Arabidopsis thaliana: one gene and its partner. The protein of the gene in region 2 purifies or fractionates together with the protein of the main gene of each other region. This does not show direct contact. Each region holds a gene or a part of one and is shown on either strand. Other genes may lie near its edges.

Evidence for each region. Proteins that work in one complex are often made in the same cells at the same time.
Region 1: the proteins of RIN4 (region 2) and RPS2 purify together in Arabidopsis thaliana (affinity purification with western blotting, with the first as the bait; one study listed by BioGRID). This does not show direct contact.

What each region holds. Positions count from the first base shown.
Region 1 is NC_003074.8:866,913-870,646, forward strand, and holds RPS2 (ribosomal protein S2), read right to left. Parts: upstream 1,795-3,734; 5' UTR 1,595-1,794; coding exon 935-1,594; 3' UTR 636-934; downstream 1-635. Other genes in the region: AT3G03610 (ELMO/CED-12 family protein), read left to right, coding at 2,239-2,241, 2,534-2,716, 2,798-2,900, 2,987-3,099, 3,630-3,698.
Region 2 is NC_003074.8:9,130,050-9,133,804, reverse strand, and holds the start of RIN4 (RPM1 interacting protein 4), read right to left. Parts: upstream 1,668-3,755; 5' UTR 1,348-1,667; coding exon of another isoform or gene 1,342-1,347; 5' UTR 915-1,341; coding exon 453-914; intron 375-452; coding exon 192-374; intron 88-191; coding exon 58-87; 3' UTR 1-57. Other genes in the region: AT3G25060 (Tetratricopeptide repeat (TPR)-like superfamily protein), read right to left, coding at 3,484-3,755.

The sequences.
Region 1 (3,734 bases), 8.3 Mb from region 2:
ATTCATGGCTGCTTCTCTTTCTATTGATTAATACATTACGAAGATATTTGTAATGATAAAATTGCTCAGAGATAAAGAAAGGGTTATGATATGACTGAGGAAGATGCTTTGATTCTGTCGAGGTAAGGTAATAACTAATAAGGTATTGTTGACAAGCTATAGTGACAATAATAAGGAGAAAACCAAAAGCTAACAATGATAATTCTTGGAGAGGATGGTAACTGAGTTAAGAGAGCTTAAACAACGTCGGTTTGTTCCATCGAGAAAATCTCTGAAGCACAACGACATCGCAACTATTCCACAAGTGAGAAGACCAGAAGAGAGAATCAAACTTGACCATCTTGAAAAGTCTAAGTTAGTTCCAAGAGCTTTACATGCAAATTTTCTTAGTCCCGGAGGATGATAGATGGAGACTAACATGGCTTGATCTTACTTCTTACTAACAATCTCTGTAGCACGTGCAGTGGAAACCAAGCCGATCAAACCACTAAGATTAGCAACAAACTCTACCGAGGATAAGTACAACTTCAAGAGGTATGACCAGAGATGCCCCAAAAAATCAGGAACATGACAGAAACTCGACTAAAATTCAAGTAAAGACCATAGAATTGTCTTAAGAGACATTCAAAGTTATCCCAGACAGTTACTTGTAAATAGCTCATTCCAAAACTTGTGAAGTAACGATTACCATATACAATGTCTAAAGCATTTCCAAAAAATGAGTTGTGCAAGGAAAAGACAAGGCAGTTATCAAGATGTAGAACACTAGAACTCAACAATCTTATACAGAAATATCCATCAGAGAAACAAAATCATCCATGTGTAAAAAACTCCCAGAATTTCAAAGTTGAAGTAACCACAATTCTGAAGAACAATTATTCCAGACTCAGAAAAACAACTGTAAAGTTTCATACTTTTGTTGCAAATATCAAAATCAAGCAGCTAAATCCTTCATCAAATCTTCATTGCTCCCTTCTTTGATCCCCAACTTCATCTGTTCTGCCACAAAGCACTTGGTGATCACATTACAGAACAAATACACAAACTTGACCGAATCACGAGCTGGCACAGGATACGTAATCTTCTCAAAGAACTCCAATGGCACATTCGGGTCCACAATTGCAACAACCGGAATCTGAAGCTTCGATGCCTCAAGTATCACAGAGCTCTTCCTCTCAGAATCAAACACAACGACACAATCAGGCATAGTAGTTGGACCAAAGCAAAGCTTTTTATGCCTAGATCGAAACTTCTTAGGACTGTAGCTGTTAGTCAAAAACCCTCCCATCTTCCACAGATTCATCGCACGGTTGTGATTATACGAATCTCCTTGGATCCGACGAGAAGTGAGCTCAATGATTTCGTCGAAGAGAGGATTCGTGTTGACGAAGAAGATGTTACCTCTCATGTGGGCGAGGTTAGCGACGAAATGAGCGGCGCTACGGAGGCAAATTAGGGTTTTGTCGGAGTCGATAATTGTCATTCCGTTACGCGTCCCGTAAGCGTATTGCTTGAAATGGTGCTCGGCGGCACGACGGCCGAGATGTGCTCCGGTGTTCAGAAGCTTCTGGATTACTGCAGCGTGAATCGTCATAGTTCGTCGTCGGAAAAACCACCGGACGGCAGCGAGAGGGTTAGGGTTTAAGAGAAATTCGCAGATTGAATTAGATCTGATGAGGAAGATGAAACATGGATGAATCTGGAGCCGTCGGGTCGGGTCGGTCTGGTCTGGTCGTGTTGGGTATGAGCTAATTACCGGCCCATTTCGGTAGATTTCAGATGCCTAAACCAAACATCGTAAACCGGATGACAAACCGGGTCGTTGACCAACAAAAGAGAAATAAAATAAATAGTAACGTATAAGAGAGATTAATCGAAATAAATAAAATTTCTGGGAAATTTGGCGGCGACAGTTTCCTTTGGATTTCAGATTTCGTGAGCTTATTCTTACCTTTCTCTCGAAGGAAGCTCTCATCTTTTCACTCAGATCACGTTCCCTGTAAGAGAATCGATCAAACCCAATTCGTAACTTTCCTTATAATGTATCTTAGATTCCAAAGTTTTTGGATTTGGTGATGTTTTTCTTGTCAAGTTTTCTGATTAGGGATTACAAAAAGTCGAATCTGAGATTTGGGGATTTTAAGCGATCCTGTTTTGTGTTGAGTCTTTTCGTTATCGCCCAATTAGGGTTTGTGGTGGAGCTCTGTTTGATCTTCTGAATTTTTTTAAAACGATTCAATGGTTGGTGACTTAGCGCAGATGCATCGCTTTGTAATTTGCTAGGTTGAAAAATTCTATCTTGTTCTGATTCCCGTTGAAGCTTCTAGTTCTAGGGTTCGTTTTCTCTTATTGATTTCTGTTTGCATGGGTCTGTTCTATGATCTAGTGTTGAAGAATTAGTGTCTAGTGTGCAAAAATTGGAAGACTGGACAAATGAAAAGCTTTAAATTATAATCGCATAGCTCCATTATCAAGACACTGTCTCCAATTTTCATGTTTTTGTTTGTTTGATCTTATTTCTGGTATAATGCAGGGGCTTATTCGCTTGTATCTGTTGATATACAAGATGGCATCTGCGACTCTGAGAAGGCGGCTTCATCACGGTGATGTAGATGGGAGGAAGTATGAACGCTATGATGCAACAGACTCTGAAACTTTAAGTGAACCCTTGTTAGGAAGTAGTAGTACTGATAATAGTAGAAATGAGTACATTGAGGTTAGTAGTTCAGTGTGTGTGTTTTTAATTAGAGATGAGAAGAACCCTTTTATGTATTATTACCTGTGGTGTTACTCTTAGGAGCGTACTCTGGAGGATATTTGGGAAGAAGAACGGAAGAGACAGCAAGTTCACTGGACGTTAATCTTTTCTCAGTTGATTGCACAGTGGGCTCAGTGGATAGGTTGGGCTTTTATTGTCTTGTTACTATCACTCCTTGATTTTTTAAAAGGGGGATTATCTCATTACAACTTGTTTCTTGGTTTGCAGCCAAAATAGTCTTTGGATCTGGCTCACTTGTTGGGAGGTTTCTTTCTCTGCCTACATTTGGTCAAATAGGTACTGGTGGGAGGCTTCTGCCACCACCTCTTAGTATGTTGCAGGTAATCTAAACGGTCTACCTTATCTTTTGAACATTAGATACCAAAAGATACGTTTAAGAGGACTATAATTCATCAGCCTATACCATATTCTTTTTTAAGTTTACATTTTCACATTAGGTTCTTGGTCTTAGCATTGTTGAGATAGCTTTAGTAGTTTGTGTAAGAATACTTTTGTAACTGTAAGAATACTTGTGTAACTGTATTTGCACTGTCTCATTTGTAGACTACAAATACTTTTTATTGGCTTGTGTTTGGAAGAATAATGGTAACTCTGGAAAACAAAGAGATGTATAGAATTAGAAAATTTATCAGAGTGTGTTTCTGCTTGGTGCCTCTAAGTCTCTTACTTGTGTATGTGGTTTATTAGGAAGCTTACTTAGTAAAATGATGACTTTCTCTTATGGTCTCAATTGCTTGTTTTTGTTGCTTTTTAAAATTTTACCGGTTTGTTTTGTTTCCAGTTATCCATGGTCAATTTGACTGTCACTGTCAATTTGATCTCCATTCTGTATTTTCTTGCCTCTTATTAGGAAGAAAGGCTGAGAAATATTAAGCGAAGAATAGAAATCCCATTTGATGGATCTCGAATGGAGCATCAAGTAAGTGTTCTCATGGACTCTCTGTTTGCTTGATTC
Region 2 (3,755 bases):
AATCATCAAGATTACACACTGATTTCTCGATAACTATATACAATCTTCCGGTCCCTTTCATTTTCCTCCAAAGCCAAAGCAGCAACACTGTCAAATTGCACAAGACAAACCAATGTTCAACACACACTCACTATTTGAATACGTATTCACTAATGATTATACTTGAAAATGAGTTTTAAAGAATGTCTTACTGAGGAAGTGTTGTTCGGGTTACGGGAGCTTTGATGAGTCGGCGTTCTTGAAGATCCACTCACATTTGCTCCAGAACTTCTCTCTTCACGGACTTTATTGAAGATATGCGTGTATCCGTCAGCTGATGACGGGTTGTTCTCGTCCCAGTCACCGAATTTAGGCACCACTGTGACTTTTTCAGGCTATATATAAACAGATGACAACACATAAGCAACAAACAGAGATATTCTCACTTTAGAGGTTAAAAGTGAGATTCTTACACTTTCATCAGCTCTAAGGTTGGTAGGTTTAGGCCTAGATTTTCCAGTACCATCATAAGAATTCTTATGCAAAGGTGACTTGTTGTCATAACTATTGTTCTGAGAAGCTCTTCCTTGTCTTTTGTTAGCAGCTTCATTTGATGAACCACCAGCATCACCAAACTGTTTCAACTCGCTCTCTTCTCGGCTTCTCATATGCTCACGTGATCTTCTAACCGTGTCAACTTGCTCAGGTTTGGTTCTGGAAGAAGGAGGATGAGGAGGAGCTTGTGATTGAGAGTCAGAGTTATACTCCGGGTCATTCGGGTTCATGATCTTGCTACCGGGTGCTCGAGTCTTACGAGCTTTGTCAAAGTAAGCTGTGTAAGGAACATTCTCCTCAGCTTCCCAGTTTCCAAATTTTGGTACATTCGAACGCTGTTGCAACAAACAATTCAACAACAATGTCCTTCCACAAAACATTCAATAACATAACATCCTAAAGAACAATCATCACAGAAACAAGATAGCAAATTCACTTAAGAATCCAAAACAGAACAAATACAAATTGGGTTTATCGATTTCGACCAAGTACAATGATAAAGTTGAAATCTTTGCTAAGCAAAAATAGAAACTTTACCATAAAAATAGTAACTTTCATAAAACCCTTTTCTTATCTAAAGCAAATCAGAATCATAAAGTTGAATACTAATAGACATCGCAATCCATAGAAATGTTATCTCAATAGGAAGAACCATAAATGCAAATAGATTAAGACTCAACTTTCTACAAATCCTCCAAAAAAAGGGTCAGAGATTGACGGAATCGAAACAAAAACTATAATCTGAGAGAAAGCTCTAGACCTAAATAAGAAGAAGAGGAGAAGGAAAGAAGGAAAGAAAACACTTACTGCCATGGGAGAGAGGTAGCTAAAGAATTGAAGTCTGAAGCTTTTGTTAGGTTTGAGAGAGAAAGACAGAGAGAGATGTGAGAAGGAGAGGAGACGAAGAAGAAGTTTTATAAAAGCGTTGACTAGTGGTGATGCTATGTATTCTTTGACCCTTCCTCTCCTCTCTCTAATCTTCTCTTCTCTCTTTGTCTCACTCCAAACTCTATTAATTTCATTTCTTAACTCTATTACTAAATTTTCATGTATTGTCAAGAGCACTCAAACGCCGTTACCGTTACCGTCACCGTTAAAGGCGGCTTTATTTTGGTGTCCATGTTACATTGTTTTCCTCTTAAAAGATTGTAATAAATATTTTTGTCCTAAAGAATTGGATATGTGGGTCGGAAGCAACTTTTGGTGGAATCTTCTGCTCTAGTAGATAAGTTTTGTGGATCTAATAATTATATGCTAATAGAATAATTTGATTATTGATAGCAACAATGTTACAATGTTATAGCAGAATTTAGTGAATTATTGATCTTGGATTTTAGCGGATTAATGAGTAGTAATAACTGAAATTTCTTTTGGTGACGATTGGTACCAATTCGTCTATAGATAGGTTACCATTTGAATCAACTACTTGCAATTTTTGTGATACAAATAGTACAATAACTATTTTTACAAATATCGCCATTTAACGCTAGTACGTATACTTTTATTATTTACACTCATAGTTTTTTTTAGAGAAAACTTAAAAGTGTTTTGTGAAGAGTACTACAAAGTGATAGTAAGTAAATAAAAAGTGTTCTACGAGTACAAGGAAAAAAAAAAGGCAGTATGAACAAAATAGTTAGAAAACTAGAAATGAGAAAGTTATCATCAAAGGTGGTTGACCACAACTACCTAATCTCTTTTTGATCTTAGTTGATGTTTAAGGTTTTAGCACACTAATCAAGAAACTAATTAAATGATCAATTGTTTCTTGGTTTTCACATTAAAACATCATTTATAAAACTCAACAAAATTATTCAACCAATAACAAAAGAAAGAATTGAAAATGTTTATGAGAAATTGAGAATATTAACTTCTGAAAAGAAAAAGAAAATAATCATATGGAGACTTTTTGTGTTAGCAAAGTCAAAGCTGCCTCTTTACACTGAAAGACCCTTTTGAGAATTTACGTACCTCTTTCTTCCAAGAACAAATAACATGTCTCGTAGCATCTATTATCGAATCACCAATGACAATAAGATGTTCACTAAAAACCATAATTGGAACATTATTTTAGTAATTTTTTACTAGACAAAGTTGAAAAATGGAAAGTATTCAGCGTTGTTCACATCAATTTATTTGTGGTTGCCGTAGCGATAATTATTCAATGCTCCCGTACTCATACACACGTGAACTATATAGTCCACACGTACAAGTGTTTTCACATGGTTAATGCCTTAATGGGAATATTTTAGAGATTGTTCACGAAAAAATAAGAAAGATCAAATCAAAGAAGACAGATCGTTCAGCTTCATCAGTTTCTCAACGTGAGTGTGTCTTTTTATTTTTTGTAGTCAAGTGATATGGTTAGTTAAGACTAAAGACAACTAAGAGATCGTGTGCATTCTTAATTCTTTTGGTGTTATTTAGTTTTGGAGCGTTACTCTATTTTTGGGACATACAACAATCCACCCCAAATCAAGTTTATTTTATATAAATTGGTCCACGACGGATTTCTTCTATTTGTCTCAATCCATACTCTTACGGACTATAATATATAAAATGGTTCAATCCGCAAACGAATTTGTCCGCCACAACCATACAAACCAGTGTCACAAAGCCACAAAGGTAAGGGTTTCTCAATACATTATTTAAGGGGTTTATCACTCTCTTAGTCTCTTTAATAAGTCTCAATTCTTAAGTCTCTTTCACATTTGTCAATTAACTTGAATTTGCACTTTGGTACTCTGCTTTTCTCAAAGGGACCAAGAACCTCTTGGTATTTTCTTCTCACTAAAATTGAAATTGACCCGGTTTGGTTTTCTTGTTCAACGCGTGGAATGTATTGTTAGAGTTTTTGACTAAAACCTCACTCCAAAATAGGGCCACATGAGTCAGAAATGGATGTATATATACATACTGAAATAAGAATGGATGCTCATAGAGACAGAACTATTCGACTCCGGAACATACATCTCTTATCTCAGTTTTCAAGTTCCTCAACACTTGCAACATGTGATAATGTTCATGGTGACTCAGATCTTCCATGAGAAAAGTTCGAAGCTCCCCATTTACTTCGATCGCGCTGTAGCCTGGTACCTTCTCCATGGCCCCATTTCTCATCAACTTCCTCACTTTGGCCACTTCTTTCCACTTATTGGCAGTTGCAAAGAAGTTAGAAACCAGTGTTTGGATCCCAATACTATCCGGATTCAACTGGAGAA